Linked DNA regions of Lonchura striata. The protein of the gene in region 3 interacts with the protein of the main gene of each other region in a pairwise test. Links are inferred from orthologs where the notes say so. Each region holds a gene or a part of one and is shown on either strand. Other genes may lie near its edges.

Region 1 (7,592 bases), on a different chromosome or scaffold from region 3:
TGGCTGCTAAGGACAGGAGGTTTCAAAGGAGTCAAATCCCAGTTGGTATCCTGCAGCCATCTCCAGGATCACACAAAATCTGCCAGGTAACTGCTGAGCCTGTCACCATGGTGGGTTTGACACTTGTTACTCAGCTAAGCTTTAAAGGACAATTGTGTAAAAGAGTAATTGCAGCTGCTCAGAACTGGGAGGCTTCGATGTGGGTGGTTCTGTGCAGGAAAATAAACCTATCCTGAAAAGCAATCATCAATCAAATGCTTATTTAAATGAGCTTTGCATTGGAGTCACCACGACATTAACAAAAAAGTGATGTGGAAGCTCAGAAAATCTCACACCTCGACGTGATTCATCTTCCAGTAAGATGTGTGTCCTTACTGGCTCTCTAAAGGGAAGAGAAGTATCTTCATGGACTCCATAGCTACTGGAGAAGATAAATCAGAGTTTTTATTATTCCATAGTGGCACAGGTAGAAGGGTCAGGGAGGTGTACAGAGATAATAAAGCACCAGGAACAAATCTCGTTTATTAGGTGTTTGGGGAAGATTCAAATTACTGCATTTTCCCACATTATTCAATAACCTTATTCTCTTGCTTACAGGTGAAGGAGGATATTGGGGATTTTTATCTTCTGAAGCAGAGCTAAAGTGGAGAGAAAATGAGATGTCTGGATTAAATGTTAGAAAATATCTCTAAATCTGGAAAGACCAGAGTGGGGTCCTGGACTCTGTGCAGCAGACTTTGCTCTTGTATTCTCTAAGCACTGTCACCGTGATATCTGGAGTACTGCTGCTCCCTAGAGTAAGGAAAACAACCTTTCATCTGAAAAATCAGGTGTCAAGCAAGAGCCAGCCATGTCACACAGCTTTTATTTCCTCCTCTGTTCAGTGGAAGGATGTTTTGTTCCGATATGAATGTGCTACATGGTTGGGAATGGAATAATTGCAATGTAATGCTCAGACATTAAAGATTCTCAGCCTACAAAATGCTAATCTTACATCCACTACCATCACATGGAAAAATGAAAGCAGCTTTAGTCTTGTCTCTCTTATGTCTCTCTCTTGCTCCCCAGAGAAGCAAGCTGTTTTTTCAATAACCAGAAAAGAATTAAATTAGGTTCTCAGTCAAGAAAGAATTTCGCTTTATAAAAGCAGGTAATAATGAATGAAAAGACTTCTTTAACAATAAACCCCTCTCATCAATTGGGAGTTTGTTTTAATCTGGTTTGTCATTTTCTCTCTTGTGCAGAAAATGTCACATTCCTCTTGTCCATCTTAAACAGTCAAAAGTCTTAATTTAGAACTGTTGATGGGAATTTGGAGGGTGATGTTCTCAGTTCCAAGATGAAGAGCCTGAAAATGCAGGAGGCTGAAGAGCACAGGTTTAAGCCTGTCTCCACCTCTGACAAAGCCAGAGCTCACCCTGGGCAGCACAAGGGCCTGGGAAGCTGCCCAGGGAAGAAAAACATGCCTAGAGAATCTCCCTACCTCTTTAATTTGCTGGCTCACGCCCTCAAGCAGCACCAGTGCTGGTCTTCGATTTGGATAAGAGGAATGTAGATGTGAGGATCAATGTTTCCTCCCTTTCAGCTGGTCTTTTATGGCACTTCAGTGCTGGCTGACAGGCAGGGGCTGTATGATCCCTCTGCAACTGCCAGGATGTTTGAACAGCTTATCAGCAAAGGGCAGAGCATTGCCAGGGTGTGCAAAGGCAGCAAAGCTGACCAACCACCGAGTCCAAGGGCGCTGCAGAGCTCACCGAGGAGCTGCGGTGCTCTGAAGCCTTCCAAGGGATGCACAAAGAGGTGCTGGAGACTCCTGGCAGCCCTTCAGCTCTCAGGGGAGTAGAGTTTGACCAGGTGCTGCAGCTCTGTGGCATAGCCCGTGACCGGGCAGCGCTGGTGAGCCTTCACGTAGCCGTGGGCGCAGCGGTAGCAGAACACGAAGCCGGAGGTGGCCAGGGCCGTGGCGTTCACGCGGACCTTGCGGCACAGGGGGCACACGGTCCTCAGGCTGGGCAGGAGAGCAGAGCCGGGCTCCTGCTCCAGGTGCACGGGCGGTGGGGGCGTGGGCAGCGCTGTCAGGGACTTGATGGTCTCCTGGTTTTCTGAGGAGTACCACCAGTCCAGGAACTGGAGGAAGAACACGCTGACGGACAGGCCGGTGGACAGGGAGAAGGCAATGCCAGCCAGAGCTTTCCTCAGGGCCAACTGCACTCGTGAGATAAAGCTGGAGCAGAGAGAAGCAGGAGAGGTGGTTACTACTGCACATTTATCCATCTAGAAACCATGGGAAAAGCACCTGGGGAGTGACTGCTTCACACAGCTCCTTAACGCTAAGTTAGTTGGTCAATGCGTCCCCCTATTTGCACTTACTAGGATGTTTCAGATACTTTTTTTATTTTAAGGAATATCCAAATGCTGCTTTTTTGAGAAGTCTAAATCAGAAGAATTTGGATTAAAGGATCCTGGACCACAGAGTGTTTCACTCCTGCATCACAGGGTATTGAGTGTGCCCATGACTAACTGCTGCTTAGGAAAATCAAAGAAAGAAGTTTCAATCCTTTCAGCAACATTGCTGCAACTGTTGCACCTCCTTTGCTGGAAAAGTGCAGGGGAAGACTGAACAGAATAAAGGCTTCCATGCCCAAAAACGCCCCCAAATTCTGAAATATTACCACAAAATAGTTTAAAGCTAATCCCTGCTACTGGTTTACTTATTTTCACTCACAATACATCCTTTTGGAGCACATTTTGTCAAGAGCAAACTTTCATCTTGAATTTTTGGAGAACAAGGCACTTGTACTTGCAGCATCATCTCTAAATTTACATGCCCACAGAACCCCCTGGAGAGCAACACCTGAGCCAGGTTCTGCCATACCTGTGTGTTTGACTTGAGGTGGTTTCAGCCCATTTCTTCTCCAGGGCCTGGATATCCTCTGCAGTCAGCCTGACCAGGCGGACACCAGCCAGCTTTAGCATGGGGGAATGATGCTCAGCCTTGCCCAGGATGTAGCAGAGCTGCTGGATAAGAAACCAGCCCTCCCAGGTCATGTTTACATAGGGGTAGGCAGCTAGAAAGGCTCTGTAGAAGCGCTTCCAGGATGAGGAGGGAGGGTGGATGGAGTACTCATCCTCCTCCCTCAGGCTGGACACCAGTTTCTCCAGCTTCCCTTTCAGATAAGGAACAAGAACCAGCAGGAGCAGAGACTTCCAGTGCTGCCTCTTTGGCAGGCCAGCTGTGGCCAGAGGTCGCTGTCTGCCATCTCCCATTGGGATCCTCTTCATGCTGTAGAAGTTCTCAGAGAAGGATGCACTGCACCTGGCCAGGGAGTGCTGCTGGAGCAGCAAATCCAGAAGGACATAGATCTCATCAAACCAGTGCCAGAGGAACCCATACCGGGCAGGATTAGACTCAGCAAGCACCTGTTGGAAAAGGGACACAAAACAGGAGGAATCAGAGTGGTCTGGGCTGGAAGGAGCATTATAGATCATGCGGTTCCAGCCCGACACCTTCTGCTATCCCTGACTGCTCCAAGGCCCGTCCAATCTGGATTTGAACATCCCAGGGATGGGGCAGCCACAGCTTCTCTGGGCAGCCTGTGCCTGAGGAAGGGAAGGATGTAAAAAGCAGAGTAAAGCGCTAAATTATAAATCAGAGCAGCTATAAACGATGCCTCTCATTCTCACCATGTTATAAACGAGAATTTATTCAGCCAGATTAAAAATAAAAATAATTTTATTTGCGGTCAAATTCTATCTAGCCAGCCACACAGAAAGGACAGAGCCGAGCCCGGGATCGACCCTGGGTGTGCAACAAGGAGTCAGCCTCAGCAGAGGTTTTCTCCTATGCCCACACCTCCATCCTGGTACAAGCGGTTTTTATAGGGAAAATTCCGCCTGAGGCCAAGATTCCAGCAGTTAGTCTTTTCTTCTATTCAGAGTCTATAGGTTAATAAGATTTTCTTTTTTTGGTGATGAGGAGAAATAATTCAATGTCCGGAGTAGTTGAATTCTTGATGAGAGTTTACGGGAAGGCTGCATTCACATGGATCTGTCTGAGGATTTCCATATCCATCTTGGACGATCAGCACCGATGATCAACACCTGGAGCCCAGCCATGGCCCAGCTCCTGGCCGAGCCACATCTTTTTACTTATAAATCAGTTTCCAATATACACCCAGTCTCGCCTGCAAGGGTGCGGGGCGAACTAATACGACGGGCATGATTTAACAAGTATTCAATATTACATATTTCATACAAGGAATGGCGCAAATTATATTTATTACACATAACAACCACAATTCAGGTGGCTCCCAAGCGTCCCGCTGCCCCTGAGCGCGGCCGGAGTCACACGCCAGCCCCCCCTCCTCTCCCTTCACCCGCGGCCCGCCTCGCCCTCACCTTGACCAGGTGCTGCAGGGCGGGTTTCACGGCGGCCATCAGGCTGTCCTGGGCCACCGCCTCGAACACGGACGGCCGCTCCTCGCCGGCCGGGGCGGCCGTGAGGTGCGCGCCCAGCTCCGCCATGCCGCCGGCCCGCCGCCCCGCCGCCAGGGGGCTCTCCCGGAAGCGCGCGCCGCGCGCCGCCGCCGCTCTATGGTGGCGGGGCCGTCGCGAGCCCGCCCGGCCCCGCCGCTTCCGGTTCCGCCGCCGCCGCCCCCGCAGCGGTGAGTGCGGTCCGTGAGGGGGCCGGGGCTGAGGGCGCTGGGAGCGGCGGCCGGGCGGCGGGGAGGGGCGCTGGTGGGGAATGAGGAGGGGCTGAGCGGGTGCTGGGAGGGGATCTGGGAGAGGGGAGGGCGGCGGTGGGGTGCTGCCATAGGGTGGGGAGGGGTGGGTGGGGGAGAAGCTGTGAGGTACTGGGGTGGGGCGGGGAGAGAGGGATGCTGCTTAGGGACGATGGGAGGGGATACTGGGGGGCACTGGTATAGGTGGGAAGGGGATACTGGGAGAGATGAAGGGTACTGGGAGGGACACCTGGGGTGGGGTGGGAAGGGGCACCAGGGGGGTACTGGGAGGGGGTGAGTGCTCCTGGGAGGGGGAACTGGAGTGGCGTGGGGAGAGTCGCTGGTCAGGCACTGGGAGTGGTTCTGGAGGTGGACTGGAAGAGGATGGGAGGAGTGGGCAGGTGGTTGCAGAGGAGGTGGAGGGGTGAGGAGTGGGGTCAGTGGGTCCTGGGGTGAGGTGGGGGTGCTGGAGGATGGACTGGGATGGGAATGAGCACAGCAAGGTACTGGGGTAGCAGTGGGAGCAGTTAGGGATAAGGGCTGGGTACTAAGAGGGACTGGCAGGCAATGCTGGGAGGGAAACTGGGATTTGTGGGGAATGTGCCTGCAGCTGGGGGATCCTGGGAGAGATCTGGGGAAGGTCTGGTGGGCAGGGGGCTTAGGGGGATGCCAGTCTGGAGTGTGGGTGGGTGCTGGGAGTCCTGCTGGAGGTGTGGGAGGGGCTGGCAGCAAAGCTGGGATGGGGCTTCCAAGGAATGGTGGTAGGTGGTAGGAGGAACAGGTGGAATGGGGACCACCAAGGGGGTGTTGCGTCTCCAGAATGGGAACAAAATCCTTGTGCCAGCACAAGTTCAGGGCTGCAGAGCAGCTCTTCCTCTGCCATCCATGTTCCATTGTTGTGTTTATCTTCCTGGTTCTCCAGTGGCCCTGGGCCACACTTGGGCTGTCACACAGCTCCTTGAGAGGCTTTCCAGGAAAAATGGGTGGCACCACTTACACTGGAATTAAACCAGGGATCAGTTGAGAGATTTAGGGATTGATGGTTTCAGTGTCCAGGAGCTTGCCTTAATCCAAGACCCTTAAACCTGTCACCCTCCTGTGTGGGGTCAGTGCTGGGGAGCGGGTGAGGCTGCCTGGGGTCATGTGTGGGGTCAAGCAGGTGTTGGTCAGACACAGGGTCAGGTTTTCTGTGTGGGTTGGGGCTGAGGAGGCTTATCTTGCTTTGGTTCAGCCTACACTGAAATATCAAGCCACTGTTTGTAGCATTAAGCATTGCTGGAGCTTTCTGGAGCCATTCCTCATTCTCATCTCTTCTCCTTTGCTGGGGTTGGATCAGGAGGAGCCTTTTGCTGTCAGCTTTGAACACCTCTTACCTGTTTCCATCTCAGCAAGTGCTGGGCATAGAACAATAGTGAGGAGGGGCAGTCTAAAGTAGATTTTTCTTCTGAAAATACAAGGCTGTTCTTGATGTTCTAATTTACCTTAGCTCTCCTGGGTTTAGATTTGCGTACAAGGAGCTGGCATTTTCTGCAGTGACACAAACAGCAGTGTTTTAAATATCTGGTTCCATTTGCTGTAAAGAATGCTGAGATTGTTAGTGATGAGATAATAGCCAGTGCTGCTGGCAGGCTGTCTCTGAACAGTGTGCAAAGCAAGCTCTGACACACATGAAGCAGCAATCTGTGTGCTTGTGAGAAAAGGAGCTTTACCCTCTGCTGCACCTGGAATAGGGCAGGCTGGTTGTTGACCTAAGCTCTCATTTAGATCCATGAAAGAAGGTTGGAAAGGCATGAGCTGTGCTTAGCCCTGTCTGAGCGTTTCTAGGATTCTTCATGTTTCCAAGTATATGAAAGGAGAAAAACAGCAAAATATGTTGCACTTGAGGTTTAACAACCATCTCTGAAAGCCAGCAGGGTTCCTTCCTCTCTGTGTGTGGCTTTATTCAAATGGGCTGATGTTTATGGTGTTTGGGCTGGGTTTTTTTTCCCTCCCCTCCATTTTCTCTCTAATCTGCTCTGGCCCCAGTTAAAGCTGTGTTAGAGCAGCTCAGCTGAGATGTGACCCTGGATGACAAATCCCCACATAATGCAAACATCAAGGCCACGTTCAGTGCTTTGGGCATGGCACTGTGCCAAATACTCTCACAGAGAAAAACATTTTAAGTCTTCCTTTTAAGCTGAGCTCAAACCTGAAGGACTCTGTCAGCAGTAATATTGCAGCTGAGCACAGGCTCTGATTTTAATTACAAAACAAGCTTCACAGCAGCCTCTGCTTTCAGGGGGGGCTGTTAGATTTTTGCTGGAAGAATTGCATTCATTGTGGCTCACATGGCTTTCCCAACTCTGTTTTGGAAGGAGGTTAAACCTCCTCTGCACCAGGAATGTGTTTCCAGAGCTGTCTCCAGGCTTGGCAGGAGCAGAAAGGGAGAGAAATCAAACCAAACCCAGTAATTCAGCCTAATTGGATGAGGTGGAAACCAGGTGGGCACAGGGCAGGCAGCAGCTCCAGGAAACTGGGAAAAGCAACAGGTTGATCCTCATGCAGATGTTTGGCAATTGGAAAGGATGATCCCAGGAGAAAGGGGTGGAAATTGGGGCATTGCCCGTCGGCAGCTGCTTGGAATTCAACTGCTGAGGTGTTCAGCTGGTCCAGGTGGATGGGGAAAAATGGAATGGTGATGGCATTGGGGTTGGTGAAGGGATGAGGGAGGAAGGAGTTAAGGAGGAACAATCTGACTTTGCTGCTGGGCAGTCCTGGAGTTCAAAGCTGTGCTGGTCCTTTTGTTGCTGAGCCAGCAAGACCTGCAGGGTTTAGAGGCAAGACAAGGCAGCATTTAGAGAACAGATGATTTACTGCTTTGCTGGCAGCCTT
Region 2 (7,524 bases), on a different chromosome or scaffold from region 3:
CATAAATACGTTCTACGTACCTGTTGTACTGCAAATGCTTTTTTAAATTTTTACTTAGAAAGTCCTTGTAAAAGTCAGCCATTTCTTCTGCATTCAGTGTTGCTTTTTGACCTGAAAATAGGTTTTGGTGTAACAAAGTCAAGGCAATTCTTTGGATCAAGACTGTGGGTTCAGATGCTAGGTCTAACTCCTTACTCCTACAAGCTTTCTGTTAAACCTCAACAAGTTAATAATATGTCTTTAACTTTCAACCTTTTAAAACTTATCTAGAGAGCACAGCAGATGAAAAATACTGATCATCTTGAAGTTGGCATAGCTCTTAAACACCCATCACTTGTGGAAGTAACAAAGTTTACCAGCTCTTAGACTACTTAGGGAACCAGTGAACCCTATTAAAATGTGCATAGATCTAGGAGTATCTATCCTTTGAATAAAATAATTTCTCACAGTCTGAAGCCTAAAGAGTACCAATAAGAGCATTTAGTAACAATTTCCCCCCTAAAGCAAGTCCATAAATATCAAAAGAACACTATCCACAATTGACATGGTATTTTCAAATGTAATTCTTTTTATATTGCTGTTAATAAATTTCAAGTAACTGCAGGCAAAAAGTTTATGTTCTGAGATGTCAGATTCCAAACAATCTAGTAGGCAATTATTTTGAGAAGAAGGAAATACAAAAGATGATTTTGAATATGTCACCCATAAGCAGAATATAAAAGGTCCAGGAAGACCTATGGCTACAGCATAAGATGTCTAATCCTGAGAACCAGCAAATATTCTCAATTCTACCAGACAATTCCTACACAACCCTTCTGGCACAAAATGTCCCTAAAATGACAGTCAAATTTCAATGCCCTAGAGAACATGGATATGATGAGGGAAATGGAATTGCAATATTCAACTTGTTACAGTTCCAAAATACATTTTAAGGCTCTTGAGATTGACCACAGAAATGTAAATTACTGATTGGTTCTATTTGTCATTATTTAAAAACTAATATATCACAATGTATTAACAGACAATGGGACAAATTAACTATAAAACCATTTGAAGGCTGCCAGTTTAATACTTATAGTTCATTTGTTTCTTCATACTGGTATCAGCAAAACTGATTAATTACATAGGAAAGCAAGTTTCATTCACTCTTCATTAATATTTTCACAAACATTCACAGCTATATTATAGAACAGCTGACCAAAGGCATGCATCTGATATAGATTTATTTTTACTGGAAGTATGTGGTCTTTTACTTCTAGAGTATAAAAGCAAAACAAAAAACCTAACAAAAAAGCAATATAAAAGAAGTGGTTTTGAAACAACATATATCTTAATTAAAATTACTTCTCAAGCACACACTGATCACCAGAATACAAACAGAAAAGAAAAATAATGGTCTGTGACATACAGAACCTCAAAGCAGATGCTTCCCTGAACTCAAACAGATCATTATTCCGTGAACAAAGTGTTCAACCTCATACCACAATGCCCAATTCACGATTATTATGAAGGCATTTTGTTTTCATTTTCGCATAATGAATTAGAGAGACAACTATTTTACAGCAACTGTGCCCAGGCAGAGACAGGCAGATAGCAGCTGCCAGCTCCCCAGAAGCTGCCTTACACTCCCTCAAGGAAAAATATTGCATTCATTGGACACACCACGGACCTGAAGCCAAAGACTCTGAATTTAACCGCCCAGCCATAACATGCACTTGAGGCAAATGCTCTGTATGTTTATGTCAGCCAGCTCACTGGCTTAGGAGGTGTGAAAGTAAAAAATCCTTCCCTCCTTAGGCTACATTATTATATCACTGGGCTAGGATTTCAGAACATTCCTTCTGGCTGTGGGGAAGGAATTAGGGGGAGAGAGTGCAACAAATGATCTGACCCCCACATGCACATCTCTGAAAAGCTCCTTGTCTCTCTTATTATCACACTCCTGAAAACATTTCTAAATCCTACCCCTAAGATTTACTTGTGGCAGAACACAAAGAGCATAAACTAACAAAATTCAAAGTTAAACAAAATTCAGAATGCATCCTAAACTATTAACAAAGATCTCACTAACCTGATTCATCTCTCATTTCCAGACCCTTGGCTTTCAGTCTTGAATAAATAAATTCTTCTTTTTCCTAAAACACGTTTTTCCACATTAGAATGGGATGCAGTCAGTCCTTGAAGTTAACCATTGTTTTTAATTACATAGCAATGTCGTGTTCAACACCCTTTGAAATAACTAGCAATACTCGTTACACTTGGAAGTGTCAACTGAACACTTTTCTTAGTCCAGTGAGTTAGTTAAAACTGGTCACTTTGCTCCTGCTACCTGCATGCATCAATTAATGCAAATGTCCTACTGATACTTATAAAACTGATTTGTGAAGTAAAGCTACAGACAAACTTCAGTGCTGTTCGACAGGAGTCAAACTTTCAGTTTATATAAACTATGGAATGTGCTGTATGACATAACTGAGATTTTGAGCATAGAGGAAAAGGTGCAGCCTAAAAAAATTAAAACTATTTAGATGGAAGCACAATAATCATTTGTGTGTGTTTCATGGACTTAAACAGTTTTTTTAATACCACAGTTATGTGGTATTAAAAAAAAAAAAAACAAGATTCATTTTGTTCTGGGATCTTTGCAAGTTTTGAGAGGATATGATGTTCAACATCATAAACAGTGGTGAGTTACTGAACTGTTACTGTTCTTCCAAAAAATGCCACATTGGCTGGGAGATGCTAAAATCAGGAAAGACACTCACTTTAGCCTTGCTAAGATACGCTGCCAATGAAATGGGACATATTATTTACCCTCATTTAGTCTTTGTAATTACACCAAATTTCTCTCACTTATGACAAGAGAAAAGCCAGCCATGGAATAATTTTCATCAGCTGCTCTAGTCAGAGACAGGTCTTGCATGTAGGGCAGCTACAACTTTATACTTTCAGTGCAAGACAGGAAAAAGGTAAACACTCTATGCCCCTAGGCAGCAATAAAACGTGGACTTCTTAGTTTTGTGCATCATTTAAATAAATGAACGACAAACCCGCCATTTCCTGCATGACCCTGAGCGCATTAACAGCGGGCAGAGCTGCGCCCCACCTCAGAGAGGCCGAGCCCCCCAGTTTCGGGCAGGCAGGCGGGTGCTGAGCAGCAGCAGCAGCAGCAGGTGCGAGGCTGTGCTCACCTGGTGGAAGGCGCGGTTGTGCCGTGCCCAGAAGCGCTGGTTGCTGGCCTGGGCCTCCTGGCGCGCCTCCCGCAGCCGCCGCTCCAGCGCCGACTCCTCGGGGGGCACGTAGAAGATGATGGGGCGCAGGTTGGAGAGCTTGTCCGGGGGACCGATCCAGTCGCTGTGCGAGTGCGCGGGGGGACGGAAACCCGGGCCCTGTGGAACACAGACACAAGGTGTGAGCAGCACCGCCGCAGAGCTGCTGAAGAACGTCTCAACTCGGAATGAATGCCCAAACGCCTCGGAACCTTAAAGCGTGCAAGCGTAGCAAGTTCAGAAATAAAGCACATTTGTTTACTGTGACCACAAACAATGGCATACATTTACAATTTACTTTTACTTACAAATGCACTACAAGACCTTTAACTCTTACCATGAGCATAAATCGTGAGATATCTTTTTCTGTTTTAATTTTTCTACCACTGATACTCTGTTAAAGTATTTCACGGAGGGAACTAGCAAGTAAGTATCCAAGTTTTTTACAACGCTGATCTCTGCCCTCTGGTGACCAATGACAGCACCCGAGGGAACAGGGTGAAGCTGTGTCAGGGGAAGTTTAGGCTGGATATTAAAGGCTCTTCACCCAGAGGTCATGGTCACCGGAACAGACTCCCCAGGGATAGGGTCACGGCCCCAAGCATGACAAGCTCAAGGAGTTTTTGGACAACGCTCTCAATGGTCCGATTCTTAGAGCTGCTCTGTGCAGGGCCAGGAATGGGATTTCGGTGATCCTTGTGGGGGCCTTGAAACTCAGCGTATTTTATAATTCTACGATTCTAAGTTTTCCTCAGCCCGGTGTTCTTCCTGCTTTCATGTGCCCACACACAGGCGTGTGCCTGCCCCAGCCGGGTTCAGGAACACCTGGCGTTAGCCAACAGCCCGAACCTCAGCGCCCCTCCAACAGCCAACACCGGGAGCCTCCACAAACACATCGAAAACCAGAGGCCGCGGGCACCGCGGTTTGCCACGGCCGCCCCCGCCCCGCCGGCGTTCCCGGGAGGAGCGGAGCGCTCCCCACGCAGGGCTCCGCGGGGCTTCCCCCGCAGGAGCTGCCGCCCCCCGCCGGGTTTACCACGCTGTCCGGCCGCTCGGAGGAGGAGGAGGAGGCGGCGGAGGAGCGGGAGCGGCGGCGGTAACAGCCCCCGGCCCGCAGCCCGCGGGCGGCCGCCATGGCCCGGCGCTTTCCGGCGCCGCCGCGCGGGGGCCGCGGGCGGGGCGGGGCTCGGTCGGGGCCGGGCCCGGAGCCGCCTCGGCCTCCGCCTCCCCGTGCGCGGCCGGGCCGGGCGGGGCTCGGGCGCTGCGCGGCGCTCGGCCCGTGGCGCAGCGCCGGGCCGGGCAGCGGGGCCTCGCCGGGCGGCGGGTGAGTGAGGGAGCGGCTGCGGCGGGTCGCGGGCGCCGCGCGGGTTCGCTGCGGGGCCGGTGGGGACGGGCCTCCCGCAGGTGCCTCGGCGGCGGCCCGGTGTCGTTTCCTCTTCGCGGTGCGCCGGGCCCCTCCGCGGGGGAGGCGGGAGGTTGCGGCCATGGAGGGGGCGGCGAGTCCTGAGGGGCAGCAAGGTGTGTGCGGGAAGGAGCGCTGCTCGGCGGGTGCGGCGGCCGGGTTCGGCCGGGTTCGGCCGCTGTTCCCCCCCTCGCTGCGGGCTCTCCCCTGGGCTGCGGGTGCCCTGTTTGATCTGCGGCGGCTGCAGCTGCAGAGCAGGTGGGGAAGGCAGGGCGGAAGGCTGGGGGTGAACATCCTAGAGCTGGGCGTGTGGCAACTAAAGCGTCCCCCCTTTGGAAAGGTGTGGAAAAATTAAAGGGTTGTGAAACATCAGCCAAGTGGTTTATTTGTATTGGTGAAGATACTTAAAATAGCTGTAATGCTGAAGTGCTTCAGAATGTAAAAGTTGCGATGTGTGCTCGTGTAGCGCTTAAGTCTTGTTATCGTTTTCCTTGTAGTTCATCTGAAGCTGGACGAGCGAAGAGGAATGGATATGGGTAACCAACACCCATCCATAAAACGGTTACAAGAAATCCAGAAAGAAGTCAAAGAGATTGAACAGCAAGTGGCTGGCTTCAGCGGTCTGTCCACCGACCGAGATTACAAGAAATTGGAAAGAAGCCTTACGAAACAGCTGTTTGAAATAGATTCTGTAGACACCGAAGGGAAGGGGGATATTCAGCAAGCCAGAAAGCGAGCTGCCCAGGAAACTGAGAGGCTGCTGAAGGAACTGGAACAAAATGCAAACCATCCGCGCAGACTGGAAATAGAGGCTTTATTCAAGGAGGCACAGTCACTTGTGGAACGCGAGATCACGGCTTCTTACAAAGGAGGAAACCGTATAAGTGATGAATTTGAAGAAGGAATTCAGGACATTGTGCTGAGGCTTACACAGGTGAAAACTGGAGGCAAAGTTTCTCTACGCAAAGCGAGATACCGCACTCTGACAAAGATATGTGCTGTTCAGGAGATTATAGAGAGTGGTCTAAAGCAACAGCTGTCCCTGCCACTCTCTAATGATGCTCATCCTTCTGTCTCCAAAATTAACTCTGTAATGTGTGAAGTGAACAAAGCCAGAGGAACTCTCATTGCACTTCTAATGGGAGTGAGTAGTAATGATACCTGCAGGCATCTGTCCTGTGTGCTCACAGGCCTCATTGCTGATTTGGATGCTTTAGATGTCTGCGGTCGCACGGAAATAAGAAACTACAGAAAGGAAGTAGTAGAAGAGATCAATAAATTGCAGAAATACCTGGACTTGGATGAAGAAGCAGATTCTAGTCATGCTTATGATTTGGCAAAAAATCAGTCTATTCTAAAAATAGAAGAGATCCGTAAGAAGATGAAGGAAGTTCATTCCTTACTTCTAAAAACAGAGAATGCTTCTGATTTGTATCTGGGATCCAAAGCAGAGTTGCAGGGACTAATTGCCCACCTAGATGAAGTGAGTCCAGGAAAAAATCCCTGTATTAGAGAGGCCAGGAGAAGAGCAGTAATTGAAGTTCAGACTCTTATAACATATATTGATTTGAAGGAAGCATTGGAAAAAAGGCAAATGTATCCAGAGCAAACTGCTGCTGAACATCAGTCTCATAAAGCAGTTTGGACTGTACTTGGAAACTTGTCTCAAATTCAGAAAGAGGTGATTTCATTTGATGGAAACAGAACAGATAAAAATTACATGAGACTGGAAGAACTTCTTACAAAACAACTTCTAGCCCTGGATGCTGTTGATCCGCAAGGTGATGAGCGGTGTAAGGCTGCTAGGAAGCAGGCAGTAAAGCTTGCACAGAATATTCTTTACTATCTGGACATGAAAACAGATGAATGGGAATACTGAAACAGCCATGGCCTGATACAGAAGAACATTTTTCCCTTTGGCACTTTATGAAGATCATTGGCAGCACATAATAAAGTCTTCTGTGCTTGCTGAAATCATGGAAATTGCATAAGCAGTTGACTTGGCTATATGTCTGCTATCCCACGCAGTCACCCACTTGCCATGGCAACTGTCAGTACACCATCAGCAATTCTGGTCACTGATATAAGCAAAGTGCAATTCTCTGAAGGAATAGCTTAATACTTGATCAAATAGCTTCTTCTTTTTTCTCTTTTTCTTTCTTGTTTTTATTTCAATTGCCTTGTGCAATGTTTAGTGAATGCAGGCTTTTCAAAGACACAGAAACTTCCTTACGGTACAGTACTGGCAAAACTATTTAAGGAGACTTGAAAATTAGTGAACGTGAAAATTAGTATTCAGGCATGAGGCTCCATCCAGCAACTTCACAGCAGTCTGGATGTACTGTTAATGTGCTGTCATGACATAAAGTTCTAAGGACAAAAAGCCTGCTGGCTTTTGGATTGTACTTGATTTTTCCCATCCATCATGCCATCTAGATATCTCAGTTAATGGAGCTGTAATGCCAGCTGCAAATTAGCATTTACATAGGCAAAGCCAATTATGTCAATTTTTGTAATACCTGAGACCTTTGATTTGCAAAACCAGGTCTTTTGTTGGTGGAAATTCTTTCAAGTTATTGCTTTAAGGTACTGAGACTTGGAGAGGAAAATCTGTACGTTTATACCAAACACATAAAGGGGATTTTGAGGATTTCAAACTGCCATCCATAAACCCTTGAAAACTGCACTGAACTTTATTTAGGCTAATTAGGTGTCTTTTTAAACTCTGCTGTTGCATCTGGTTTTCACATTTGGCGAAAACATAAAAAGAGACTTCACTTTGAAGTGAAATGTGCATTTTGGAATTATTTTTGTAAATTAGGTAGCCAGCTATAAAGATGTCACTAATGATAT
Region 3 (7,516 bases):
CCGGCGCCGCCGCCCCGCCGCTCCCCGCCCCGGGTGCCGTCGGCCCTGGGCTGCCCGCGCCCAGCCCCGCACCCCCCTGGATCAGCAGCTGCTCCAGGTCGGCGGCCGGCGGCAGCTTCAGCAGCGGCAGCTCCGCAGCCGACCCCAGCGCGGCCTCCGGGCCGCCCCGGGCCGCCGCCGCCCCGCCGGCGCTCCCGGTCTCCGCGGAGCCCGCGGTCGGCGGCGGGGCGGCGGCGGCGGCGGGCGGCGGCGGCAGCAAGCGCAGAGCCGCCGCGCTGCCGCGGGCGCCGGCAGGCGGGCGAAGGGCGAAGGGCCCCGGGAGCGGCGCGGGGGCGGCAGCCGGCAGGTCCCGCTTCTTGCCGGCGCCCAGCAGCAGCTTCTGCCCGGCGGCCGCATCGGCTCCGGGTCCGCCGGCGGTACCGAAACCCGGCAGCGGCACGAAGTCGGGCAGCAGCTCCAGTCCTTCCTCGGGGTAAAACGGCGCCTCCATCTTCACGGCGGATCGCCCGCTACGCCCGCCGCTCATGCTGCCGCCCTCGCCGGCCGGCGGCGGCTCCGGCGCGGGGCGGGCCGGGCTGGGCGGCTGCTCCGCGGGGCCGGCCGCCCTCGGCTGGCAGCGGGGACTGAGCCGCCTCCCGGCGCCGCCGGACCGCGCCACGCCCCGGGCCCGCTGCCCGCCCCGCCGTCGCCGCCTCCCTGCTGCCGCCGCCGGTCCCCCCCGCCCGCTCCTTCCCCCGCCCGCCGGGCGTGCGCGGAACGGCTTCCCGGTGGGTGTCCGTGGGGAGCCCGCGCTGCTCCTCCCCCTCGGAAACTCGCCCCGCGGCTGCGGTGTGGGGAACAAGGCGCTGCTGGGGCCTTCCTCCGTGAACGGGGGAGTCTTCTCGGGGCCATTAGTCCGGCCCGAGGACCGGGAATTCTCAGGAGGAAAGCGAGCAAGGGCATCGCGTGGCGGCTGCTGGGGCAGGTGCCGGTGCGTTCCGTCTGTGATGGATGGGCACAGGATAGTGCAGGTGTCGAGGACTAGTGATTCTCAACAACACAGTGCTGGGAAGTCTGACGGGAAGTGCTTGGCCATCATGAAAAACTCCAACTAGTCAAACTAAAAGTCACTCAGAAGATGAAGGCCATGAATTTGATGATTTGATGTGGCCTTTTTTCCCTGGGAAAAAAAAAAAAATTAAGAAAAAGAATTTGAAACATCCTAGACATATTTCCAACATTTTCAAAATTACTGAAATGTGAATAGCATTTTTCAGTTTGGAGGTTGTATTTATTTGTTATTTTATTCAAGACAATTGCCTCTGCCTTTCCCCAAGTTTTTCAAATTCTTATGGGATAAGGAAATTTCTTTCTACGCAGTCTTTTCTAAATCCGTTTTGCTTCAGGACACCAATGTGATCCTGACAGAGCTGCTGAAAGCTCTGCTTTAAGTCTTTAAAATCAGCTTGGTGACTGATGGTCTCAGTGGCTTATCTACACATTCACAAGACCTTCTCATCTGTGATGGACCCCCTCAGTTAGGTGTCACCTTCTGCAACCTACTCATGCTTTCATGCTTTCTCCCCAGGCATTTCCTTCCTACATATCAAGACCATGTGCCTCTTCTCACAGTGTCTAGAGAAGTTGCTAAGTTCTGCTTTTAGCACGATCTGTATGGCCATGCTTTGCCCCCCTGTTCCTAAAGTTCATTCCAAAACCAGCAGTGGAGGAGGAGATGGACAGTGGTATCAAGTCCAGGACTTTGACTCATAATCCCTCTTCAAGTCCACAGAACTGGAGTCTAGGTGCACTGAGGCTTTGATGACCTTGACTCAAGCAAGTACTTTGGGGCTGCCAATTCTTACGTATGGGTGCAAGAGCTCCTTTTCAACACTGTCCAGCACCTTCAGTCCCTGCCTGGCTGTGTCACAGGTGTCACCCTCTTCTGCTTCATCTCCTGGGTGAACCTTGGACCTGTGTTTCCAGTTCTGTTCCTGGTACCATCTCCTGCTGCTCCTACCTGAATTACCTGGGTGGACCTGGTTCATCACCTCACCGTGTGTGGGTGTGTCCATTCGTGCCTGCCGTGCTCTCGTGCTGCAGGACTCTGTCCAGGCTGGTGAGCCTGGTTCTGGTCACCCCTAGCTCATTTTGCCATGGGACAAAGCCCAGCTCTTCTGGTTCTTGAGGCTGTGGCAGAATTGCTGCCCAGAAAACTGGCAACAGAGGGAGAAGAAAGCCATCAGGCACAGGCCAGGGACAGAGGCATTCACATGGGTAGGGGAGGAGTAAGCATGTTTTTCTTGGTGAGGAAGGTAGTGCTAGAAAGAGCTTATTTTGGTTTCCTTGTCTCTTGGCTGACCTAGCAAAAGAGGCAGCAGAGCTAACAGTGCTCAGCCAACAGAGTACTGAAAACATCTCATGTGAGTGACTTTGTGGAAGTATAGATTAAGCTGCTGTACAGGCTTTTCTGTCATATTCCTAGGCAAGCAAGTGGCAGTGACTGGTCCCTTCCATCAGCTGGGCAAAGAGAGCTGTCTAGGCAGAGAAGCCACAGACTCCAAGCCAAGGCAAATAAACCTTATTTTCTTTCCCTCACAAAGCAAGTGTAGACGGGGAAAGTAGGCTGAGTGGGGTCAGAGAAAAAGCCATGGAGGTTAATTTAGGTCTGGGGTTATTGTCAGTGAATTTCTAGAATATACCATTACACTTGACTGGGGTGATCCTAAAGGTAGGTTCCTTCGTCATTCCTATACAAAAACTGTCACTTATGTAGGACAGTTTTAGTTGTTGATCGAATGCAGAGTTCAAAAGTGAGCCCACAGAATGGTAACATGTTGAAACTGCTCAAAATAAACCTATTTGTAACAACAAATGGATTTGTTGAGACATCTATCTACTGTCTGCTGATGCACCTGCACACTACGTTTAGGCGAGTGACACGGAGTTGTTTTACACGACCTTAATGCAACTGTGTGTTATAGCAACGTGGTCTTCCCGTTGTTTGCTTTTGCCTTTCCACCGCCCCTCCTTTTTATAAATTTTTTATTCTTCTCCCCGAAGGAAGCCAGAACCTCCCGCGGGGCTCACAGCGCTGGGGCAGCCATCCCCGGCCACCACTGTGGGCACGGCGCGGCCGGAGCGGCCTTGAGGGAAGGGACGGCCGCAGCGCAGCCCTCGGCCCCGGGGCTGTGCCTGGCGGGGCCGGAGGCGCTGCCCTGCTGCGGATGGGGCGCGGAGAGGCGCTCCCCAGATGGTGCCGGATGGGGCGGACGGCGCTGCCCAGCTGTGGGTGCAGGGTGTGGGTAGCACTGCCCAGCTGTGGGTGGCACTGCCCAGCTGTGGGTGGCACTGTCCAGCTGTGGGTGGCACTGCCCAGCTGTGGGTGCGGGGTGTGGGTAGCACTGTCCAGCTGTGGGTGGCACTGTCCAGCTGTGGGTGCGGGGTGTGGGTGGCACTGTCCAGCTGTGGGTGCGGGGTGTGGGTAGCACTGCCCAGCTGTGGGTGGCACTGTCCAGCTGTGGGTGCGGGGTGTGGGTGGCACTGTCCAGCTGTGGGTGCGGGGTGTGGGTAGCACTGCCCAGCTGTGGGTGGCACTGCCCAGCTGTGGGTGCGGGGTGTGGGTAGCACTGTCCAGCTGTGGGTGCGGAGTGTGGGTGGCACTGCCCAGCTGTGGGTGCGGGGTGTGGGTGGCACTGCCCAGCTGTGGGTGGCACTGCCCAGTTGTGGGTGCGGGGTGTGAGTGGCACTGTCCAGCTGTGGGTGCGGAGTGTGGGTGGCACTGCCCAGCTGTGGGTGGCACTGCCCAGCTGTGGGTGCGGGGTGTGAGTGGCACTGCCCAGCTGTGGGTGTGGAGCGGAGGGCGCTGCTCAGCCTGTGGAGCGGAGCGCCGTGCCCAGCTGTGGGTGTGGAGCGGAGCGGTGGTGCTTTGCTGTGTACGTCAAGAGGAGGGCTCTGCCCAGCTGTGTGCGTGAAGCGGAGGGCCGTGCTCAGCTGCGGGTGTGTGTGGAGCGCTGCCCAGCTTGTGGAGCGGAGCGGCGGCGCTCTGCTCCGTGTGTGGAGCGGAGGGCGCTGCTCTGCTGTGGGTGTGTGTGGAGCGAATGGCCCTGCCCAGCTGCGGGTGTGGAGCGGAGTGGCGGCGCTCTGCTCCGTGTGTGGAGCGGAGGGCCCTGCCCAGCTGTGGGTGTGTGTAGAGCCGCGGCGCTCTGCTCCGTGTGTGGAGCGGAGGGCCCTGCCCAGCTGTGGGTGTGGAGCGGAGGGTCCCGCCCCGCGGCGGGTGCGGGGCGGGGGCGGAGCGCGGCCCCAGACGGGGGCGGAGCGGCGTGAGGAGGCGGCCGGATTGGCGAGCCCGCCGAGCGAGGCCCCCGCCCCGCCCCGCGCGCCGGCGCGCCCAATGGGCGGAGCGCGGCGCGCGCGGCTACCGCGAGAGGTTCCGTTGAAGCTGGCGCCGCCATCTTGGAGTCGGGAGAGGCCGCGCGTCCCGTTCCCGTCCCTCTCCGGAGGGCCACGGGCGTGGGGGGGGGGGGGGTCCGCGGGAGGCGGGGGGAGCATGGGCGCCCTGCGGTGAGTTCGCAGCGCCCCGCCGGCTCGTCCATCCCCGCGGAGGGGCCGCGCCGCGGAGGGCGCGGGGTTGGGCGGGATGGTGCAGTCCTGTTCCGCCTACCGCTGCCGGAACCGATACGACAAAGAGAAGCCCATCTCCTTCCACAAGTGAGCGCGCGCGGCGCCGGGGCGGGGTCGCGCCGGGGAGGGGCGGGGCCAGCGCGGGGCCGCGCGCGCGAGGGTGGCGGGGAGCCGTGAGGGAGCGCGCGCGGGCGGGCGCGCCTCACGGTCGGGCTGAGGGACAGGGGGACAGACCGGGCACAGACAGACAGGGGGACAGACCGGGCACAGACAGACAGGGGACAGACCGGGCACAGACAGACAGGGGGACAGACCGGGCACAGACAGACAGGGGGACAGACCGGGCACAGACAGACAGGGGGACAGACCGGGCACAGACAGACAGGGGGACAGACCGGGCACAGACAGACATGGGGACAGACCGGGCACAAACAGACAAGGGGACAGACCGGGCACAGACAGACAGGGGGACAGACCGGGCACAGACAGACAGGGGGACAGATCGGGCACAGACAGACAGGGGGACGTGTCCCCTCGCTGCCCCTGAGGCTGGGGTGCCTTGCCCCCCGCCCCGGAATCTCCCCTGGGGAAAGCCGGAGGGACGGGACCCTCGGAGCCGCCTGTTGCAGAGCGACAGCGAGCAATGAAACCCCGTTCCCTCCTCACCCCGATGAGGGGCAGGAAGATTTTTGGCTTCGTTTATCAAGCTTTCCAGAAAAGCTGAAAGTGCCTCTTGCTTGCAGGTTTCCTCTTACGAGACCCGATCTTTGCAAGAAGTGGGAAGCTGCTGTTAAGAGGAAAAACTTCAAGCCGACCAAGTACAGCAGCATTTGCTCAGAACATTTTACCCCCGATTGCTTTAAGAGGGAATGCAATAACAAGCTCCTAAAAGAGAATGCAGTGCCCACAATATTCTGTTACACTGAACCCGGTGAAAAGGTATCGCTGGCTGGGGGGCTATGTACAAATCACGGACGGGACGGGACCGCTGAGGAACGTGTCTCAGGCTGTTTATTTTTTCATATCAGTCTTATTACATGGTTTTGACAATGGGGATACAATACACAGAGCTCCATTATTAAGCTTACAGCTTCCTAATATCTCAGCAGATATACTTTTCTACAGGAGTTATTCTACCCAAGCGTTAATACACAGACCGTAGTTATATTTGTCCTTTCTACTTCTTGTATAATTTTTCTGCTGACAAATCTTATAGCTACTGCTTACCTCTAAATCACCATCCTGCTGTCTCTTTTTACCTACCTTTTACAATGTGCCTAAAACCCTCAGACTTTAAAGAATCCCACAAAAAGGTAAACCCAAAGGACCCATGCCTGCAGGTGCTAGGACATATTGTGTATGTCATTGGTTGCAGCGTGGCAGGGCAGCGAGCAGGGAGAGATGTAGGCTGGAAAAGGATGGAGGCTGGCAAGATGCTGGGCCTGGGGTCACCAGCAGGGCTGTGGTGACTGAAAACACCTCCAATAGCGTGCTTGTTTTCTCTGAGGCTCTCTGAGGCTTTGGATCACAAACTGTTGTACAGGCAGACACTGGCTCTGACCTGCTCGTGTGTCTGTTTATTCAGCATCCATGTGCTGAATTAAATGGAATGGCAGCAAAGTAAGAAGGTGTTGCCCTGTAGTCAAACTATTCCACAGTAATTCCTGCATATTCAGGGTCTGAGAGCCATCATTAATGCTTGCAAATGGCACTTGCTCTCTTCCCCTAACCCTAACCATTGAAGACATGGTGGATGTTAACTGTGAAACTTAACCAGAGGGCTGTGCTTTGGCTTTGCAAAGTAAAAGTGAGCGACAGAACCTTACCTGCACCTGCTATCTGTTTGTCCTGAGAGCACCTCTGTCTTGCCTTAACATTGTTTTCAAAAGCCATACTTGTCCCTGACTTCTGAGGGTAGAGGCTTCTGTGTGAGGTGTTCTTCCCTTCACTGTGCCACTAGAACAATTTACTGTGAGATGCAGGTCACTTATGAGTTCTCCTTGATGTAATGACTTCAAGACAAGAATGGAAAAGACTGATTTTTAACTCCTTTAAAGGATATAAAACATTTCATCTCTTTCTGCTCTGCCATAGAGAAAGTGGCAAAGGAGACAGTCGTAGATAGAGTAGGTTTGGGGAGCAAAAGACTTAAATGGGATGAAGTGCACAGAGTAAAACTCAGATTTTTCTTGTTCAATTTTTCTCTTTATGTAACATGTTGGAATGTTGCAGAAATAAAAAGGCTACACATTTGAAAAATGAAAAGTGGCTAATAACAGATAAGAATATAAACAGAATGTAAACAAGGAGACAGACAACTTACAGGAAAATACAGTTGTGTTTTTGTTTGATTGCACTTCCTTACTTATCTGTGAAATACACATTTTCTTTGTTGTGTGTAGAATACTTGCAATTTTTTTTAGTCTGAAAGCTGAATGGGTGTATAGGGTAGTCTGCAAAAGCACTGTTGGTGCAGCAGGATTAGTTGTGAGACACATTTCCAGTTTTACTGTCATACCTGGATCTACAAAAACACAGAAGAATGAGTGCCTTTTAATTCTGAAGGATTTATTTCTATTTTTATTTGTCTCATGGCACTTTTGAACAAACTGCCATAAATCTTCAAGTAACATTGTAATAGCAAAGAATAATTGTGATTGTTTTGGAGTTGAATCTACATGGATTTTGAAATACAGTCACTCTGTGTAATTTGGTATACTTTATTTTTCTTTACTTATGTCTTAGGAGAAGTACTTATTGTCTAGAATAAATAATTAGAAGTCACTGCTGATGTCATAGAGTTACCAAAGATCTCTGTTCTCTGTGATACATTGTGACCATAATAATTTGTATATAGAGGTAGCATATACACTATAGCTTCAAATAGAAGTCTCTGTGAATTCAGCAGTCCAGC
Region 4 (7,869 bases), on a different chromosome or scaffold from region 3:
CAAGCCCCCAGAAATATTTCTTACTCTTGGGACTGTTACAGCAGCCTCCTGATCTCTCCATACAGAGCCTGCTGCTCTGTCAGACTTAAGCAGCACTTGGGAAGCGAGAGCAGCCACTCTGGAGCCCCGGCCAAGCATGATGGCAGCTCAGGGGTGGGAGCTCAGGGGTGCCAGCTCAGGGATGCCAGCTCAGGGACGGGAGCTCAGGGATGCCAGCGCAGGGATGCCAGCTCAGGAGTGGGAGCTCAGGGATTCGAGCTCAGGGATGCCAGCTCAGGAGTGGGAGCTCAGGGATGCCAGCTCAGGGACGGGAGCTCAGGGATGCCAGCTCAGGGATGCTCGTGTACGAGACTCGCAGCAGAAGTCACAGCCTGGCATGATGCCACAGCCCTGCTAACGCAGAGCCTGGCTCTGGGCTCACAGCCGGAGCCACATCCAGGGTCACACCAGCCTTTTTTTCCAACGCATGTGGCAGATTAAAGAACAAGCACCCTGCCCTGAACTCTGCATATGGCAGAGAATCACACTGGCAGCTACCAAGGGACCAACACGGCTCCTCCATCCCCACGGAGCCCTTCCACCCAAGTGACAAACATCACTCAGCAAAGCCTCTGGGCTGGATGCTCCACTGGAAAACACCTGCAGTCACGGAAAAAAAGGCAGTGGTGGTGGATTTGGATGGTGGTGGCTGAAGAAACTCCCAGCCAGGCTGGCAGCCGGGACAGAGGCTCATTTATCCACAGGCTGTCACACACAGTAACACTGCCCATTGGTGCTGTTTTCAGGCACCGTGCCCCACATGCAGACACAGCAGCTCACAAACATCTCCACTCCCAACTCAGAGGTCCCAGGTAACCAGGGGATGAAGCCAATGTGCGCACAGCACTGAGCAGGGCAGGGCCAGCTCCTGCCTCACATTTCCACCCAAAATTCGTCCCTGCGGGGAAAAGGTGCTGCCATACTTTGTGGGACCCACAGACACATCCAGTCCTTGCAGGGGCAGCTTTAGCAGCAATATGCCAGTGAGCTGATCCCTGCACACTTGTGAATGAACCTGGAAGCCCCTAACAGCCTCCAGGAGTGCAATTCCAGGCTCTAGACTGCTCACCTCCACAGAGAATCATCTCTTCTATTTAAGCAGCACTTTCAAATCTTGCTCCGAAAACAAATCGCAGCCTCTTGTGCCAAGATGTTGTTTTCCCACACGCCCATCCCGCAGGATCGGCACTCACCGCCCTGCCACGGCGCTGCCAGGGGCGGGCACAGGCACGTCCCTGTGCCGGGATCCGTGGGGTTTGCTCTGGGGCAGAGCAAGCCCCAGCCCTGCCCACCCCGATGCAAACTCCCTAAAAGCTTCCACCATAACTCGCTGCTGCTCCAAGCTAACAACAAAGTCTGTTGGTAATGGCCAGGGGAGAACCAGGTCAATCTGCTTCTGCCTCCACATGCCTGGAGCAGGGGATCCCGCTGCTCCCACCCGGAGCCACAGGCAGCAGAAAGCGCTTTTGTGCAGCTCTCTGAAGGTCCTTTCCCTCCGAGCCAAGAGTCCCGTGGAGGCCGCCAGAGCCTCGGCTGCGTTCCCAGCTCAGCTCCTCGAGTCCCGGTCCCGGCACGGACGCTGCAGCTCCGGGAGCTCTGCGAGGAGCCGGGGCACACGCAGGGTGCGCTGGGCACGGCAGCGGCACAGCCGGGCCCGGCGGGGCCGAGCACCGCTCCACCGCCCCCTGCCCCGCCTGGGCCGCGCACCGGGGCCACGCCGCGCACCGCAAACCCGGGCCAGGGCCGGGCACCGCAAACCCGGGCCAGGGCCGGGCACCGCAAAACCGGGCCAGGGCCGGGCACCCCAAACCCGGGCCAGGGCCGCGCACCGCAAAACCGGGCCAGGGCCGGGCACCCCAAACCCGGGCCAGGGCCGGGCACCGCAAAACCGGGCCAGGGCCGGGCACTGCAAACCCGGGCTAACACCGCTCACCCCACACCCGGGCTAACACCGCTCACCCCACACCCGGGCCAGTGCCGCTCACCCACACCCGGGCTAACACTGCGCACCCCAAACCCGGGCTAACACCGCTCACCCCAAACCTGAGCTAACACCGCTCACCCCACACCCGGGCCAACATTGCTCACCCCACACCCGGGCTAACACCGCTCACCCCACACCTGAACCAGTGCCGCTCACCCCACACCCGGGCCAGCACTGCTCACCCCAAACCCGGGCCAGCACTGTTCACCCCACACCCGGGCTAACACCGCTCACCCCACACCTGAACCAGCGCCACTCAGCCCCACACCCGGGCCAGCGCCGCTCACCCCACAGCCGGGCTAACACCGCTCACCCCACACCCGGGCTAACATTGCTCACCCCACAGCCGGGCTAGGGCTGCTCAGAGCCCCATACCCGGGCCAGCGCCGCTCACGCCCAGGTGCTGCCGCAGACCCCAGACCCGCACACACCCGTGGGGGACCCACGCCTGCACCCCACGGTGCGCGCACCCGGCGGGGACGAGCCGGGGTTACCGGCACCGGCGGGTCCCGCTCGGCGTGGGAACCCCAGCCCCGCGCCGGAGCGGGGCCGCGCCGGGGCCTCGGTAAAGTTCCGCTCAAGAAGTTTCCCTCCGAGCCTGACCCCTCCGGGTGGTCAGCGGGGCCGGGGTTCCGCCATCCCCGCCGCCCCTGCCCCGCTGCCCGGCGCCGCCGGGATGGAGCGCGGGGAGCGGCGCCTGCCCCGGGCGATCATCCGGCCCCGATCCCGAATCCCGGGGCCCTTCCAGCGCATCTCCCCCCTCCCGCAACTTTCCTTAGCCTGCAACTCCCCGTGTCCGCAGCCCGGCCCCGCGGCCGCCGGTACCGGCAGCCCGGCCGCCCCCGCCCGCCCTACCTGCCCAGCCGCCCGGCTCCGCCGCCGTCTGCAGCATCCTCCCGGCGGCTTCTCGCTCCCGGCCGTGCGAGCGCGCTCGGGGAGGAGGAGGAGAAGGAGAAGGAGGAAGAGGAGGAGGAGGAGGAAGGGGGGGGATGAAGGCAGCTCGCGCGCCGCCGCGGTCCAACCCCCCCTCGGCGCCGCGCTCCCGCACGGAGTGGGAGGGGGAACGGCGGCGGCGCATCCCGGTGCTGCATCCCGCAGCTGCATCCCGCAGCGGCGCAGGGGCTCGGGGGCATCCTCCCCGCTCTCGCTCACGGCTGCCCCGGGCTGGGACTGGGGGAACACAGGGCAACTCCCCAGGCTCTTCCCAGGGGCTTTGGGGGTCGGTAAGGTGCGCGGCTAGGAGCGCAAAGGGAGGTGACACCGCGGGGCTGTGGGGAGGGCACCTGAATTTCAGGGTACTGAGATGCCGTGTGCGACCAGCGCCCCGGAGAATGGCGGGTCAGGTCTCAGGACGAGGGTCTCCAGTCCCGCACCCTGAGCGGCAGCAGACAGCCCGGCTCCCCACGGAGGTGGCATCGCCGGGGGCTGCAGCTCTTTGCGGATGGCAGAACCCCTTCTCCGACCCTGGCCCAGCAGGGAGGGACAGAACCTCGGGCAGAACCTCCGAGAGGCTGAAGAGGAACCGAGGGCGGGATGGAGGGAGGGGGCCTGCCCGGAGATGCTGTTTGCTCCTCAGTCAGCGCAGCGGGAGCGCACGGTGCCGCCGGGCAAAGGCGCCTCTGCTGCCATGCTTAGCCTTGTGCTAAGATCAACAATTTTAAGTGCAAAAGTCTGAGCTGGCCTGTCGCTGTCATCATTGTTAATATTTTAGCAGCTCCCAGAACCTTTCAGCAGGGCCACACAGTGCTGACACAGGAGAGGAGATATAAAAGCATCCTGCTGCCCGCCCCAAGGAATACGCTGTCTAGACACGTTATATAATCACATTTTGCCCTCCGCCAGGACACTTTGCAGAGGATCTCAAAGCACTTCCCAAAACTGCTAATTGAACTTTGGAGCCCAGCTGGGAGGGAAGTGCTCTGGCCGAGAGCTCTCCTCTGGAGCAGGTACCCAGGGACTCCTGTCTGCCAGAGCAATTGCCTGCTCACTGCTTTGCCTCCACTAAAACACGGAATTGGTGCCAAGAGGCAGAGGTGTGATCGGCCCCGAGCTGCCGCTGGCAGAGGCTGGAGGCTGCAGAAGTGGGGCAGAGCACGTGCTGCTCCAAACCCCTCCGAGCCCACAGGTGCCCACACCTGCAGGAGGCTCCAGGGCCACCAGCTGCCAGGGAGGGAGAAGCCAGGAGCGGGGAGTCCCAGTTTGAGCTACTTCTGGGTCTGGAGATCCTGCAACACAAGCAGGTGGCCCAGGAGCAGCAGATCCTACCTGTCCACACCAGAAGTCCCTTGCCCCGCTGCTGTCAGATTCAGGTCCCCAGGAGCAGCAGTGTGGCACCACTGAGCCTTGTCCTGGCTCACCATAAATCACTTTGGCTTTTCAGAGCCCTTTTGCCAAAGCTCAGTGCATTTGTTTGCTGTGCCATCTGATTTTCACAATGTAGGATGGGTTTTTTTTTTCCCTCCCTATAAATAATTACAGGCACTCTAATGGATCTCAAACTTTACTGTACCTTGGCTGTCAGGAGCTTGATGATGATGGTGTAGCCTTCTTCTCCAAGGAGCAGAGGCAGGGCTGGGGCTTCTCCACACATTTTTCATTTACTTTAAGCCTTTCAGCCTCCTCCTGCCTCCAGCAAAATGCAGGAAAGGGACTGTACTCCCCTGCCAGGTGTGGGGATCAAGAAGTGCAGGGATGAGGTGAGGGCTGACCCACAGCTCCCAGCATTCCAGCACTGGGGAGTGTGGATGCATTCCTTCCCCTCCATGCGAACTCTGGCTTCCCTCTTCCAAGGGCAGCCCTTCATCCCTAAGACACTGTTTGTGCCAAGACCACGGTCACCCTCAAACATTTTGGTTTGCTGCAGATATCTCCAAAGCCGAAGACAAAACTCGAAACAAAGAGAAGGTCATCTCCAGCTGCAGCCCCCTGAAGTGCCGTGGGACAGAGCAGCAGAAGGCACAGCACATCCAGCCCCTCCATCACACTGTAGTTGCTCACAAAATTTCTCCCGACCCAGTTCTCAATTCTGTGCAGCAATTTTGTGCACTTGAAGCAGCAGAAATGAGCCTCTGAGGAAACAGGATGGGGTGCTGCCAGGAGGGAGGGAACTGGGAGGGAATGGGCACTGCCAGGAAGGAATGGGCACTGTCAGAGCAACACTTCCTCTTTCTTCATGCCTCTGGAGCTCAGCAGCTCTGCTTCCAGCAAACAGGGAGTTTTACAATTAGACCAATGCTCTGCATCCTTTGGCAGCTCTGACATGCCCCCACACAGGGAGGTGCTGGCACTGCCCAGGGACACTGTGGTGGCACCTCTCCAGTGGGACAGGCGATGGGTAGGTGTGACAAGCTGTCCCAGACGTGATGCTTCGAGACATTGCCAATCCCAAATGTGGAACCACAGTGTTACAGTGAGCTCATGGGCACTCTGTGCCCCCTTTCCCAGGACCCTGTGACTCTGATCAGGATAACCCTGGACCCCTCCTTCCTGCCCTGACAGGGTTGGCGGAGAGCCAGGGAAGCCCACCCTGTCCAAATTCTATACAGACCCCTGACATTTCCTGTTCGTTCTCTTTTGCCCTGCTGTCCCTATGGACATCACAGAATAAAGAGAGCTGAACCAAGTATTTCAGGAGTAAGAGCCTCTTTTGGAAATCTTTGCCATCTCCTGATATTCCTCCCCTCACAGCCTCGGACCTGTGGGCTAGCCTGATAATTTAGGGGGCTGAGAGGGGGGAAACATCACCACAGGACCCCAGGGAAGGAGGATTCCTTCCTGCAACACCCACAGGGGTCCCACAGCACCAGCTGGCTGCAGTGCCCATCTCTCCAGGTGCAGTTGGAGCTCTCTCCTTCCTCGGCCAGCGCCAGGCAGAGCTCAGCTGCTGGGTACAGAGGCCGTGGGAGACAGAGGGCAGAGGAGGGGCTGTGCTCAGGGGCTGAGCCAGCCAAGGAAGGTGAATGTGGGGTGGTCAGGCCCAGCACCACTTCCCAGGAAGGCTCTGGCTCCTCGGCCACCGCGCTGAGCCGTGCCAAGCTGCTCCGGCAGCTGCCGTGGCCGTTCAGCAGCTGTTGAGCTGTAATTGCTCATTGAGTCATAATTTATTTTTTTTTTCCCAGTGAAAGCGGCGCTGTCAGGGAATTAAAATCTTTTCAAAAGGCCATAAAGATTTCATAAACGCTTCAGAGCCAGATCAGGGGGGGTTTAGCACCTTCACAGCCAGGATCCAGGGAAGGCAATGAGGAGACCAGAAGTGGAACACTTGACGGCCGTAACTGGTTAAAGGAACGACAGCACGGGGCAGCACCAGCCCACGGGGAGCTGAGCAGGCTGCAGTGCCCCTGCCTGCAGCCTGCTCAGGGCAGCACTGCTCCCCAGCCCAGCCTGGCTGCAGGGGCCCAGCTGGGCTCCAGGTGCCTCAATTCACCTTGATTGCCAAGACACGCTGCTGACCTGGCTGTGGGGTGTGGGATGTGACACCACAGCAGCTCCAGAGCCAGGAGAGCAAAAAGCTGACGTGAGGGGACTGCAGCTGCACCAGCCCCAGCGTTTGGCTCTCACCTGTTTCTCATCAGCTCAATTAGCAGTGACCCAGCTATGGCCAGATGGGAAGTTCAACCCCACAGCCAGCGTGGGCGAGGGGCACTGACCCCACAAACACCCATGTTTGAATTCAGAGGTGTCCTCAAAAGCAAAGGTTTGCGTTCTGGAGGAGCTGTTGTAGACATGGAATAAGGTTTTGCACTGCTGCAGCTCTTCCCACATCAGCAGATGTTTGCAGGTGACGGAGGAGCCACGTTCCCACCAGCAGCCCCTGTGCCAGCCTGGGCACCTGCTATTTTTAGTGTGAGCCGCCTTTGATGGTCTCTCTGTGAGCTCTGCAAAATATCTGGGCCAGGCAGATGCAGCTCCCACAGCCCCACTCTGCCACAACACACATCTCAGGGAAGGACTCGGAGATGCTGGATGAACTCAGCTGGGACCCCCGTGCCCTGAGGGATTGAATGGGCAGAAGCTGTGCCCCCCCAGCCCCACAGAGCTGGACTTTTGCACCCCAGGATCTGCACAGCCACATCAGCAGGGCAGTGTTAACCCTCACCCTAAACCTAAACCTCACCCTAACCCCACCCCTGGCACCGGGCACCGTGGGCAGGACACCCCCATTCTCTAACTGGGGTGCAGAAACAAGAGCACAAATGGGTCAGAGCTGAGCTCAGCACCCATTTGGGCACCCATGGGTGCAGGAACTCCCCCACAGCTGCAGGAGGAAAAGAGGGACTCCCTGCACTGCTCTGGAGCCTGCTGGCCCCAGCACCTCTCACCAGCATCGGGCATCGCTTGGAGAGGCACCTGAGCCACAGAGGCACCAATAAATCATCGGTAGGGGAGAGGCTGCTGTTATTTTATGGCCGTTGTTATTTCCTTCCTATTGTAACTTTTAATTAAAATCTACAGAAGGCCGATAACTGCTTCCTCTGCATAATTGCAGGGAGTAAATTTTATTATATAGGAAAGTGGTTTTAATTTTTAATGGACTTATTTTTAAGGAAGAGCAACACTTCGGAGGGATCTGTGAGCCCCAGTAACATTATCAAAGGCAAGAAGAGGAACAAAGATGGGTTTATTACCTGTTCCCCATAAAACTGTTATTTTAGGGGAGTTTTGTGCTTCCTCCTAATGAGAGATGAATTGCACCAGCTTCATTTGCTGTAGGAGGAAAATTAAAATGAAACTGATAAGAGCCAAGCCTCTAGCTCCTGACTTACCTCCCAATTATAAATGAAAGCTCACAGGCATTCCAGAGATGGGGCTTGATGTCTACATTAATTATAAATAAATTATCTACA

Evidence for each region.
Region 1: the proteins of THAP1 (region 3) and AP2B1 interact in binary tests that used the Homo sapiens proteins (3 or more experiments, as listed by UniProt). The two-hybrid records come from large-scale screens. The link is inferred for Lonchura striata from reciprocal best matches to the Homo sapiens genes THAP1 and AP2B1.
Region 2: the proteins of THAP1 (region 3) and BAG5 interact in binary tests that used the Homo sapiens proteins (3 or more experiments, as listed by UniProt). The two-hybrid records come from large-scale screens. The link is inferred for Lonchura striata from reciprocal best matches to the Homo sapiens genes THAP1 and BAG5.
Region 4: the proteins of THAP1 (region 3) and ZNF385C interact in a two-hybrid assay, tested with the Homo sapiens proteins (3 studies listed by BioGRID). The two-hybrid records come from large-scale screens. The link is inferred for Lonchura striata from reciprocal best matches to the Homo sapiens genes THAP1 and ZNF385C.

What each region holds. Positions count from the first base shown.
Region 1 is NC_134622.1:5,985,520-5,993,111, reverse strand, and holds the start of AP2B1 (AP-2 complex subunit beta), read left to right. Parts: upstream 1-4,589; 5' UTR 4,590-4,664; exon of another isoform or gene 4,665-4,673; intron 4,674-4,713; exon of another isoform or gene 4,714-4,737; intron 4,738-7,592. Other genes in the region: PEX12 (peroxisome assembly protein 12), read right to left, coding at 1,825-2,224, 2,876-3,420, 4,399-4,524. UniProt on the Homo sapiens protein: Component of the adaptor protein complex 2 (AP-2). Adaptor protein complexes function in protein transport via transport vesicles in different membrane traffic pathways.
Region 2 is NC_134608.1:10,005,173-10,012,696, forward strand, and holds the start of BAG5 (BAG family molecular chaperone regulator 5), read left to right. Parts: upstream 1-4,521; 5' UTR 4,522-4,593; intron 4,594-5,168; 5' UTR 5,169-5,197; coding exon 5,198-6,550; 3' UTR 6,551-7,524. Other genes in the region: COA8 (cytochrome c oxidase assembly factor 8), read right to left, coding at 21-111, 2,072-2,135, 3,192-3,389, 4,306-4,404. UniProt on the Homo sapiens protein: Co-chaperone for HSP/HSP70 proteins. It functions as a nucleotide-exchange factor promoting the release of ADP from HSP70, thereby activating HSP70-mediated protein refolding.
Region 3 is NC_134642.1:4,505,256-4,512,771, reverse strand, and holds the start of THAP1 (THAP domain-containing protein 1), read left to right. Parts: upstream 1-4,516; 5' UTR 4,517-4,618; coding exon 4,619-4,689; intron 4,690-5,345; coding exon 5,346-5,541; intron 5,542-7,516. Other genes in the region: transcription factor Jun, read right to left, coding at 1-526. UniProt on the Homo sapiens protein: DNA-binding transcription regulator that regulates endothelial cell proliferation and G1/S cell-cycle progression.
Region 4 is NC_134627.1:6,449,614-6,457,482, reverse strand, and holds the start of ZNF385C (zinc finger protein 385C), read right to left. Parts: upstream 3,004-7,869; 5' UTR 2,916-3,003; coding exon 2,879-2,915; intron 1,210-2,878; exon of another isoform or gene 1,125-1,209; coding exon of another isoform or gene 1,109-1,124; intron 1-1,108.